Linked DNA regions of Daphnia pulex. The protein of the gene in region 3 interacts with the protein of the main gene of each other region in a pairwise test. Links are inferred from orthologs where the notes say so. Each region holds a gene or a part of one and is shown on either strand. Other genes may lie near its edges. The genes, in order: ubiquitin-conjugating enzyme E2 variant 2-like, DNA repair and recombination protein RAD54-like and eukaryotic translation elongation factor 2.

What was found.
Region 1: the proteins of eukaryotic translation elongation factor 2 (region 3) and ubiquitin-conjugating enzyme E2 variant 2-like interact in a two-hybrid assay, tested with the Caenorhabditis elegans proteins (2 studies listed by BioGRID). The link is inferred for Daphnia pulex from reciprocal best matches to the Caenorhabditis elegans genes eef-2 and uev-1.
Region 2: the proteins of eukaryotic translation elongation factor 2 (region 3) and DNA repair and recombination protein RAD54-like interact in a two-hybrid assay, tested with the Caenorhabditis elegans proteins (2 studies listed by BioGRID). The link is inferred for Daphnia pulex from reciprocal best matches to the Caenorhabditis elegans genes eef-2 and rad-54.L.

Annotation. Positions count from the first base shown.
Region 1 is NC_060018.1:3,969,955-3,973,188, forward strand, and holds ubiquitin-conjugating enzyme E2 variant 2-like, read left to right. Parts: upstream 1-1,447; 5' UTR 1,448-1,554; coding exon 1,555-1,582; intron 1,583-1,922; coding exon 1,923-2,071; intron 2,072-2,130; coding exon 2,131-2,256; intron 2,257-2,327; coding exon 2,328-2,468; 3' UTR 2,469-2,643; downstream 2,644-3,234. Other genes in the region: diacylglycerol O-acyltransferase 1-like, read left to right, coding at 39-295, 365-409, 484-662, 725-875, 930-1,109. UniProt on the Caenorhabditis elegans protein: Involved in protein ubiquitination, but has no ubiquitin ligase activity on its own. The uev-1-ubc-13 heterodimer catalyzes the synthesis of non-canonical poly-ubiquitin chains that are linked through Lys-63.
Region 2 is NC_060022.1:2,886,469-2,890,556, reverse strand, and holds the start of DNA repair and recombination protein RAD54-like, read right to left. Parts: upstream 2,817-4,088; 5' UTR 2,692-2,816; coding exon 2,689-2,691; intron 2,622-2,688; coding exon 2,406-2,621; intron 2,337-2,405; coding exon 2,137-2,336; intron 2,071-2,136; coding exon 2,001-2,070; intron 1,945-2,000; coding exon 1,750-1,944; intron 1,673-1,749; coding exon 1,454-1,672; intron 1,376-1,453; coding exon 1,214-1,375; intron 1,147-1,213; coding exon 885-1,146; intron 814-884; coding exon 651-813; intron 583-650; coding exon 384-582; intron 302-383; coding exon 204-301; intron 127-203; coding exon 18-126; intron 1-17.
Region 3 is NC_060028.1:7,522,504-7,526,808, forward strand, and holds the start of eukaryotic translation elongation factor 2, read right to left. Parts: upstream 2,819-4,305; 5' UTR 2,670-2,818; coding exon 2,667-2,669; intron 2,205-2,666; coding exon 1,877-2,204; intron 1,814-1,876; coding exon 1,399-1,813; intron 1,330-1,398; coding exon 1,221-1,329; intron 1,059-1,220; coding exon 944-1,058; intron 877-943; coding exon 490-876; intron 431-489; coding exon 270-430; intron 211-269; coding exon 94-210; intron 28-93; coding exon 1-27. Other genes in the region: 40S ribosomal protein S15-like, read left to right, coding at 3,042-3,050, 3,275-3,360, 3,433-3,667, 3,734-3,847; uncharacterized protein LOC124209707, read right to left, coding at 3,915-4,061, 4,123-4,305. UniProt on the Caenorhabditis elegans protein: Catalyzes the GTP-dependent ribosomal translocation step during translation elongation.

The DNA.
Region 1 (3,234 bases), on a different chromosome or scaffold from region 3:
CTAAACCGGTTTCTGATTTTTACTATGTATTTGTTTAGATCCTTCTGATGTAGACAACGGCAAATCTATGAACGAAGTAGTATCCTATCCAAATAATCTGACTGTCCATGACTTGTATTTTTTTATGGCAATCCCCACGCTGTGCTACGAACTCAATTTTCCACGTACTTCCCGTATCCGCAAGCGGTTTTTGATCAAACGAGTCATCGAAGTATTAGTGGGAATGCAAGTTGTTCTGGGTCTTTTCCAGCAATGGATAATTCCCAGCGTTAAAAACTCGCTCGAAACATTCTCGGTTTGTCCTTTTTTCTTTATTCATTGATTCATCGATCATAAATCATACTCTTGTAATTTATTTATGCAGAAAATGGAACCTGTACCTGCCACCGAAAGATTATTGAAATTAGCGGTGCGCTACAAATAAGATATTCATATTTTTCTAATGAAACGATTGTTGTTAAACTGTTTTCTATTTTTACACAGATTCCCAATCACTTACTATGGCTCATCTGGTTCTATCTTTGCTTCCATTCCTATTTTAACATGTTGGGCGAGGTTCTTAAATTCGCCGATCGCGATTTTTATGGTGACTGGTGGAACGCGACTAATATCGATGTTTTTTGGCGCTCTTGGAACATGCCAATTCACCGGTGGGCCGTTAGGTATGTTTTATCTTAATTATCGGTTAATCCGTGTAATATAAAAATACAATTTTGATATTTAGGCACTTGTACATGCCACTGATCGAAAGAGGCTATGGTAAAACTGTCGGTTCCGTGTCCGTCTTCCTGCTCAGCGCGTTTTTTCACGAGTACTTGGTCAGTGTCCCATTACGAATGTTTAATTTGTGGGCGTTCTCTGGCATGATGCTGCAGGTATTACAATTATCACCTTAATCGATTTTTAAATAACTTAAATCTTTTACCCAGATACCATTGTCTGCCGTGTCTCACTTTGTCGAGAAAAAAGCTGGGCCGCGATTAGGTAATGTTTTGGTGTGGATGTCGCTCATACTCGGTCAACCTCTTTGCATCATGATGTACTACCATGACTATGTAATTACTCATTTTGGTAAAGACTTGATGGAACAGTTCAGCAAAATGCGATAGAATTCACATTGTCTAAAGTGCCACGGTGGGGTTTTTTCAACCAATTACTTTCCTGTTAACTATGCTGGTCTAAAAACGTTCCTCATGAAAATAATGGTGAAATTAGTCTCGAGTCTATTTAGTTCTGAAATATTGTCATTCCGCACACACGAGTTCTTTTTTATACTCCTTTTTTGTTACATGAAATAGTACTCAACTACTTTGTGATCTGCCTGGGATTCCTATTCTAGTTACTTATACCCCTTGTTGTCCAATGAATAATAAACCATGGATTATTAGCAAAATTTTGTCTTAATTTGTTTTTTTGTTTTTTTTTTTTTTTATTTTAAATACAGTTGATAACAATGTTGCATTGTCGTTTGCTGATTGGCTCATTGCGTTGCGACGCTTGAGGTGTGTAATCTATCTGGCAACCCGGCGCGTAAGAAGTTTGTCTTCATACAAGATGGCAACCACAGGAGTAGGATCAGCGGGTAATTCTTACGTCTCTAAATTTGGTTTTTAATTATTTAATTCGTATGGTTGACACAAATTTAATGAAATTCAATCAAACTTTACGTGTCTGACTTCATTTGGATCACTTGGCATATTATTGCCAATATCCAGGGTTCGGTTAAAATCGTATCGGTTTTCTGACTGATTAGTTGTTTTCCTTTTCTCCATTTTTTGCTGTCAGATTGTGTCAAAAAATAGAAAAAAAAATTTAATTGGTCTAACTCTTTAAAGAGATTATTTTTCTAAAGCTTATTTCATTTTCATATTATTGGCTAGCCATATTATCAAATGTATAAATGGTGGATATTGTAACCTTAGATGTGGTAGTGCCACGAAACTTTCGATTATTGGAAGAACTTGAACAAGGACAGAAAGGAGTTGGTGATGGAACCATCAGTTGGGGTTTGGAGGATGACAGTGATATGACCCTGTCACACTGGACAGGCATGATCATTGGCCCCCCTCGAGTAAGCTTGTATTTAAACACGCCTTATAACTTGATAATTATTTTGTGCCTTTTTTGTAGACTGCATTTGAGAACAGAATGTATAGTTTGAAGATTGAGTGTGGTATGAAATATCCAGAGGAGTGCCCACTGATCAGATTTACAACTCGTATCAATATGAATGGTGTGCACAACACAACAGGAATGGTAAATAATAATCTGACATTGTTTTTATATATTTATGGATTTCATTTATTTAACCAAACTATTGTTGGTAGGTTGACAAACGAATGGTGAGCATCTTGGTCAAATGGCAGCGCAACTATACGATCAAAACGCTATTGCAAGAGTTAAGAAGGATGATGACCCTTAAAGAAAACATGAAGCTGCCCCAACCACCAGAGGGAACCAATTTTTAAGTTGTTATTACGGAAAAAAATGATGTCGTCGTCGTCATGGTGGAAAATAATAAAAGGAAACTTTCATTCTTTCTTTGCGGAACGTTCATCCTATTGGCCTAATCCCCTTCTCAAAAATGATGTAAAATCTTATAGCTTCATTGGAATATAGGCCAATACACATGCAAGTCAAATATTTGATTTGGTTATGATTTATATCACAACCAAATAAACAGAAGGACAGACATTTTCAGTGTTCTTTTTCATCCGTTATCACGTTTTATTACATCACCTTAATATATAAATTTGTAATTCCTATTAGCTATTAGGAGTGGTATTGGGCTATTCGGCAGTATCAAGAACGAATTTACTGGCGCCACACTGACCATGCCATCTATCCAGGGAATGTCCAAGTAAGAATGTAAGCATGGCATCGACTCCTCCCCTTTTACACTTTCTTGTTTTCATTCGTATTTTCTTCGTGTCGTGTAAACCTCGCGTGATTAGTTTTTCATTATAGAAGCAGCACATTTCTCCCGGAAGGTTGTGCTGAATTTTGGATTATCATAACGTTATAGGGATTCTTTAGGAAATTATAATCATCGTTTTTAAGTGACAGTTGTTTTTTTGAAAACATTCGTGTTGTTTTTCCTCTTTTTTCCCCTCAGGACTCGTGTCTAAATAGTAACATGTTAATACTTAATAGTACTTACCTTTGATGAAATTGACCATATTCTAACAAACAGCTGCCTTGAGGTGTCTCTACTGTCAAGTTGTCAGCATGTAC
Region 2 (4,088 bases), on a different chromosome or scaffold from region 3:
TGGGTAGAAATACTTACGGACAACAGGCGATAAATAAAACAGGGTTTCTTTTGTCCGTCTCTCCAAACACGAGCCATAGCTTGATCGTCGTTGGCGGGATTCCAGTCCGGATCAAACATCACCAACCTTGTGCGAAAGTAATTCAACATTTTTTTTTGTGAATAATCTTACATTCTAAATTGAATGCATTAACCAATTAGTACCGGTTGGCTCCAATTAAGTTCAATCCGCAGCCACCGGCTTTGCTGCTGAGCAAAAAGACAAAATCTGAACTGGCTGGGTCGTTGAAATGTTCCACAATCTGAAATGCAAAATAGGTACTTAACAGTCCTTCCTGACCCGACTTCATTAAGAACTAAGACTGGTTTGATTTGTCTGTGTACCTTGGCTCTCTTCTTGATGCTCATGCTGCCGTCCAGGCGTACGCACGGGTAAGACCTCATTCGGCAAAGTTTCTCGAATAAATCTAGAGTTTGAGTGTAGTTGGAAATCAAGACGATCTTGTCGTTGGTAGTGCTTTTCACCATAGCCAGAATACAGTCGAGGACGCAGAGCTTGCCGGACAATTCGGTTTGCAGTTTTCTATCGATCAAATCAGCAGCGAGGTTATAGATTTTTCTACTGTCGCAAACGAATGGTGTGGGACTAACCGGGGATCGAAGGTGGCAGGAAATAACGGCAGAGTGCCTTCGAATCCGTCAACGCCCGATTGGCACTTTTCGTAAACCAATTCCGGGTGACTGCATAGTTTCTTTAAATTGGTGATGGCTGCCAGTGCAGTCATGCTCGATTTGCTCGGTTTCTCATTGGCTTCTATTTAAGTTTAAGCAGGACAGCAACAAAATATTTAATCAATCATGTACTTTAATTTATATAATATTTACCCCTCATTTTGCTCTTGACAGCTTCGGATGCTACGACCTTCTTGTAAATGGACGCCTGAACAGGACTGAGCTTAATACAAACAACCAATTCAATTTTGACTGGAAGATATTTGGTCAGCAAAGCGGATGTGCGCCGAATGATGCATTTATTGACTAGATCGGCCAATTCTTTCAATTGTGTCTGACCCTTCTTCTGAGTTTCTTCCGTCGCATCAGCGTCTCTACCTCGAAGGATGGGCGTCTCGAACCGTTTCTTAAACTCCTGCAAAAAGAAAATGTGTTTGTTGTCATTATTATTAGTTAAGGATCTCATTTTTATCTTGAATCACCTGAGCAGTGCCAAGAATGCCTTGGTTAACGAAATGTAACAAACTAAAGTACTCCAGCAAATCGTTCTGAATGGGCGTTCCGGAAAGAAGGACACGTCGTTTGCAATTCAATGCAACCAAAGCTTGATATGTCTGATTTTCACTGTTTTTCAGACGATGTCCCTAACGAGACGAACAAACGGTTGTTAGTTGAATAAGAGACTCGCGCCAGATAATGATCTTAATTATGAGTAAGTGTACTTCATCACAAAGAACAAGTCCTATTTCTCCCTTGAGAAGGGCGTGGGCGTGAAGTCTAAATGTCTCGTAGGAGATGATCAGAACAGGAGTGACGACTCGCCTTCCGTGTGTGTGTATGAATCCATTCAAGTTGCGATCAATTTCGTCTTTACTTCCAGAGTCTATCACCAACGTATTGACTCGTCCACTTAGCCACTTGTTGATTTCATTCTGCCAATTCTTTTGGTTGTAAAAAAAAATACAGCAGTTAATAAATTTCAAAGTGAATTATTAAAGTGATCATTGAATCAATGCACCTTGACCAAACTACTAGGTGAGACAATGATCCCTTTTGAAATTAAGGGCTTGCAGTCTGGGCCTTGTTTGAGTAGTGTCCAAAGCAGGGTAATGCACTGCAAAGTTTTCCCCAATCCCATTTCATCAGCCATAATGCAACCATAATTGTTTTCAATGCATAGACCAGTGACACAGTCATACATGAACTTCACTCCCTAGCAATAGAAAATTAATAGAAGACCAGAATTACAGCAGCATAAGTGGAACTTACTTCACGTTGATGAGGTCTAAGTACTTTGGTCAATACTGGATCAACAACAACATGAACAGGATGTTTATCACTAACAAAAAATTTAAAGATGTGAAAATTTAATCCCCCAGTCTTTTCAAACTATTTAATATTGTACCTTATGGATGATTTCAGCTTGTCATGAGCAGACAGTTCTGGAGGGGAATATAAAATCAAAGCACCAGGTTCATCTGGGTCATGTAAAGCTTGTCGTACTCCAGCTCGTCTCATTCCAAGTGATTTGCTAAGGGTTGGCCCATTGTAGTTTGGTATTGGTATTTTGAATGGCTTTGACATAATCTTTTTGATAAGTTCTTCCTGTTAAATAGTTAATAGCTATAATTTTGAGGCAATAGAGTTAAGTAACTATTATAGTTAATGTTTTACATGGAATGACGATCCAGCCATTTCCGAATTGGTTTCAACTGGAAGACTACATTGAGCAAGTGGTTTACGAAATGGAGAAAGAAACTCTGAAGCTCTGTCTATTATTTGTGTCTTCTTATTCTTGCCTCCTTTCTTCTTTTCTGACCAAGCTGGGTCATCATCTTCATCGTATTTTCGTTTAACTTGAACCAACTGACTTGGGGCCAAACTCCGTCTCTATCATTGTAAAATTGAGTAAAAATATAACAAAAATGTTAAAATTCAAGAAGAATTCATCACAAACCATTTTATTAATCCCTTCACTTTGTTCTCTTTCTCGTGTTGAATCGCGCCTTAAAAATACAAACACAAAGGTGAATGCATCGTGCTTATGCAGTTACTCTAATAATGATTACTCGAAAGGGTTTCTTTTGCTTGTGACGTTGTCGAATGTCTCACTAGATGGGCTTTCAAGCGAAAATATTTAAGCTGTCCGCATTGGCGCATTCTGTCAGTAGTCTTTGCAGAGGATGGTCGAAAAAAGTTCAACCCGTTCAACGGCGAGGCGAGGCGAGGCGACTCGTTATTAGTTTCCAGAAAATCGTGTCGTCATTAACTTGTTAGTGTTATTATGTGAGATAACCAAGTACTTAACCACAGTACCAGATATAATAGAAACTATTGTTAATTCAGTTTTGTTTCTTATTAATCAGAGAACAGAAGGATGAACAAAGCTTACAGACCAAAATCTAAAATTGGAAATTAATGATGCACTGCAATTTCAGGTGATTTCCGGTTCCGATTTGTGTAAGAGGATTTCTTTTGATTGTCCACTTCACGAATTGAATTGACTGAAACATCATCCAAGCTCAATTTAGATTTTGGAGGCGATAGCAAATTAAGAATTCACCAGGTGGGAAAATGGTAACACATGTTATTTATTTTCCTAATTAAAATAGAGAATCTTTTGCTGGTTGTTATTCCATTCGAGTAAAACTTTATTTTTTTCCATCTTCCAACAGGTTCATTCAAAGTTAACAGCAAACACACATTTGATTTGTTTTTAAAAAGGAAGTCCATGCTGTCCTATAAAATATTCTACCTCAGTTTCCTCAAGTCCTTAAGGTATCACAACTCCCCTATTCAATTCCCCCTAGATTAACTGTGTTTAAATATTTTCTTAGCTTTTGCATTATGTTTGGTTGTTTATTTGTGCTTGTTTTTATTACATCAAATTGTTTTTCTTTCGAAGGCTCATAACAGCCATAACAGGTAATATTTCGCGCTGTTTGGTGTTTCAAACGTGGGACCATCAATCAACCTAAGAACAAAGCCCCTGGTTTTTCCTCAAGAAGCTGGTAGATATTAAACATTTTACTTAGATCTGTTTTATCCAATAACCGTTTGATTTATTCGACAGGTTTTAACCAATTCGAAAAGGTACTTTGCAATAAATAATAAACCGGATTTCAAGCCATATATACACCGTTTCTGCAGCTTGCACCTGATCTGGCAGGCCGTCGGAACTCTATTAAGTTTATCTGAGAACCATCGGTACTTTGCCTAGACAGCGTCCTGGAGAAACTACTACTCCACTGCACCGCCTTCGAAGAAATTATGTGGTGTGTACATTCCCCTTTCGATAACTAAAGGATTCGAAGAACTCTCTTCATTTTCTAGGATACTTTCTGAGGTAGCGTTCGG
Region 3 (4,305 bases):
GATGCAAGCATGGTCCTCCTCCAAGTCCTGCACAAAAAAAAAATAATAATGCAACACTAGATGACAATACATTTTATAAAAACAAGATCCTACCTTAAGGCAAATTTCCAAGTGAAGTTCACCAGCTCCAGCGACAATGTGTTCTCCAGACTCTTCGATGATACATTGGACCATAGGATCGGACTTGGCCAAACGTTTAAGACCTTCAACCTAGAATAGAATATTGTTGATATCACAGCATCAACCACATCGATTTCAAAAATAAATACCAATTTAGGAAGATCAGCAGGGTTCTTGGGCTCGACGGCAACACGCACGACGGGTGAAACAGAGAACTTCATGACACGCAAGTTATGGGCATCCTTGAAGGTGGAGATGGTACCAGTCTTGACCAAGAACTGATCAACACCAACCAAACCGCAAATGTTGCCTATTGGGATATATAGTTAGAAAACAAATCCTGAAGTCTAAGGATAACATTCAACTTACCGCAAGGGACATCTTCAATGGCCTCGACGAAACGACCCATCATGAGCACGGTACGCTGGATAGCCTTCTCGTACAAGTCGGCCTTGTTGCCGGGAACGTAGTTAGGGCCCATGATACGAGCCTTCATGCCAGTGCAGACCTTGCCAGCGAAGACACGTCCGAAGGCGTAGAAACGACCCTTGTCGGTGGTTGGTACCATTTTGGAGACGTACATCATGAGAGGGCCGTTGGGGTCGCAGTTCTTCATGGCGACAGCGGATTCATCATCCAAAGGACCTTCGTACAACATCTCAGTACGGTATTTCTGGGCCACAGCAGGTGATGGCAAATGGATGGCAATCATCTGAAGCAAAGTATCTCCAGCAGGGAGCCATTGACGAACGACGGCTAAAATTTGAACAGAAAAATAAAGTTTAGTTTATATCTAACAGACAACCAGCTGAAACCAACTAACCTTTCAACAAGTTCTTGCCATCCTTTTCACGATCTTCCAAGCTCAACTTAATGCCCAACTTGGTCAACAGAGAATCGGTTTCTTCTTTCTTGTAGTTCATGATAGCATCGAAAACCTACGATTATAATAAATATAATTAGAACACTTACATTTACGAGCGAATCTTAGCATGTGCACATGAATCAGTTAGAAATTTGCTTCCTCAACATGATCAGTACAGGTCTGTGTTTATCATCACAAAAATTATTGTCAAACCATAGGACATTTGTATCCTTACCTTGTAAAGGGGATCCAACACATACATATTGAAAGAACGCTTGTTGTCGGCATCTTTAGTTTTTGACCATTTCTTGGTGGTAGGGTTGAAGAAGTTCTCTCCCCACAAGCTATTGAAGTAAAATAAATTGGTTATTATGATGATTCTTCAGAGGAAAGTCATTTTTTTCTTAACTTACCGGTTCATCAGCTTAATGGTGTCAATCTTGAACTTATCTGCATACATCTCAGCAAACTGCTTCAATGTAAAAGCCCAGCCGTGCAGACCAGAGCCGAAACCAACGCTACCCTTGCTTGGGTCAACGCTAATCTCACCCATGGGTCCTTCATCATCAGCATAAGTAGCAACAATGACGTTGACGTTTTCAACAATACGCTGGAAAGTTTGGTAGAGAGCTTCCTGGTCAAGTTGGAGCTCGAGGAGCGCACGGTCCATTTTGTTCATGAAAAGGATAGGCTTGATACGTTCACCAATAGCCTGACGCAATACAGTTTCGGTCTGCACGCAGACGCCAGAAACGCAATCGACGACGACCAGGGCTCCGTCAGTTACACGAAGAGCAGCTGTTACCTCAGATGAAAAGTCAACGTGACCTATTTTTTTTACACAACAAAAACATTAGTACAATTTTAATCAAGTAATAATATGATTCCTACCAGGTGAATCAATCAAGTTGATCAAAAAGCCCTTCTCAGTGGATTCACGTTGTTCAGGGTTGGTGATGAAAGCACAATCCTTCTCAGATAGCTCGAAGTACATGGTCACAGCAGTTGACTTGATGGTAATACAACGCTCCTGTTCATCTTTACGGGTGTCAGTAAAGCGCATTTCACCAGCCTTAGCTCCAGCGATGATGCCAGCCTTGCCAACCAAAGAATCTGTCAATGTAGACTTTCCATGGTCAACATGAGCAATGACAGACATGTTACGGATGTTCCTCTTCTTGTCCATCATGACACGAATTTCATCTACTGTGAAGTTCACCTGTAAAATAATACAAATAACACTTTACTCATAATGACACTTTACATTAATTTGATCCCACAACATAAAAGATTTTCCATGTCCCTCAAGCTAGACCCTAAAAATTTTCAACTGTCAACTTAAAACGGTACGTTAATAAGGGCAATCAACCGGATACCGGAACAGTGTACCTGATACACTACATCTTGTCAAATACTTTAAACCCTTGAATAAAGCATACTAAATACTAATCAAAATGTCGGAATACAACGACATGACAAAGATATCTCAAATCTGTTGTAACAACCCGTTATCTTCCCCATCTTTTCTTTCCAACGTGTCAAGACCCAAGTCATGAGGACACGAATATTAAAATTAATAATAACGAAACGATAAGACCCTGTCGAGAATCTATTTCCCATTCAATAAAATCGCCTTCTCTTCAAAATTAGAATGATGATATTAAAAGTTAGAATTCTTTACCATTTTCGATGATATTGGATAAACTGCTGCCGAAGTTCACAAAAAGACGGGTACAGAGAGAGCCCGTCTAGAAAAAGAGAACGATGAGATGGTAGAGACCTCTAAAGTAAGCTAAAAAATCACCTCCCTTTATTAACAAAACCACGTACTGTCTGCGTTGTCGAGCAACAAATATTACACTTTTTGTTTCTTTTCGAGTTAAAAGTGTAACTGAAAATTTTCCTATTTTCTGAAATAAATTGTTATGATTTAAAAAGTTATTTTAATAGAATGTGAATATTTTCATTTATTTCTATGTGAACCCTAGTCAACAGTGCGTTGCTAGTTCACTTTTTTGCCGTCACTTTTTGCAGTTCGTCCATTGCAGTTAAAACCATGGCTGACGTGAGTATTTCTTCTGAAATTTAGATTAAATCCAGAATAATGTTTGACATCCTTCGTTATTTGTACATGAAGAAGTTAGAAATTGTTGAACAATTCAATTTTACGTCTTGTAGTGGGGAAATTTGTGGAATGGATATTAATTTACATGGTTCGGGGATCGGCTTTTTTGACTTTTTTCCTCTTAGCACCAATTCACTCATGTTTGATTTTCTGTTTGATGGTAGACCGAAGACCAGACCAAGAAGAAGCGTACCTTCCGCAAATTCACCTTCCGCGGGGTGGATTTGGACCAGCTGCTGGACATGTCCATGTAAGTTTTGCATTTCTTAATTTTATGGTAACTTCAGAATAAGACTAATCACTTGTCGGATTTGCAACATAGGGACCAGCTCCTTGAGATGCTGAGTTCCAGAGTCCGTCGTCGCTTCCGCCGCGGACTTAAGAGGAAGCACATGGCTTTGTTGAAGAAATTGCGAGGAGCCAAGAAAGAAGCTCTTGAGAATGAGAAGCCTGCAGTTGTCAAAACTCACCTTCGCAACATGATCATTGTCCCAGAGATGGTTGGATCCATTGTTGGTGTTTACAACGGAAAAGTCTTCAACAGCGTCGAAGTCAAGGTAGCCGATTTTCTTTAGAGCTTCTGATGTGCAATTCAACTAACGTACTTTGATTGTTTTTATTAGCCTGAAATGATTGGACATCATTTGGGTGAGTTCAGCATCTGTTACAAGCCTGTCAAGCACGGTCGCCCAGGTATTGGTGCCACTCACAGCTCTCGCTTCATCCCATTGAAGTAAATTGCAGTTGGTTTGTCACTTCAAGGTCAATAAACATCCTTCTTGGCCTGAAAACTGTTTATTTATTTTATTTACTGGAGTACATCCCTAACGCTGGGTGAGCTAAAAAACGGGTCTTAGTGTTTGTCATCTGTGCTGAATTGTTTTTAGGTTTCTTGGTTGGCTGATTCCCTTTGATTTTGGAATTTGGTTCATGTTGAGGAGAGGTGAAGTTCTTTAAGAAATAGGTGTTAGTAAATTCATTCACAGGATAAAAGAGTAGCTACTAGAAATACCTTCATCCATTCCCCTTTCAAAAGTGCAATGATATTTGCATTCGGTCCAAAGCCATATTCATCAGTAGATTGAATTTTCTTTGTGAGCTGTTCAAAGTCTTCTGATATCAATTCAGTTGTGTTCGGTTCGGGTTTCGGTAGCAGTAATTCAACGCAAGCTATAGGCTGCATTAGCATTCGTAA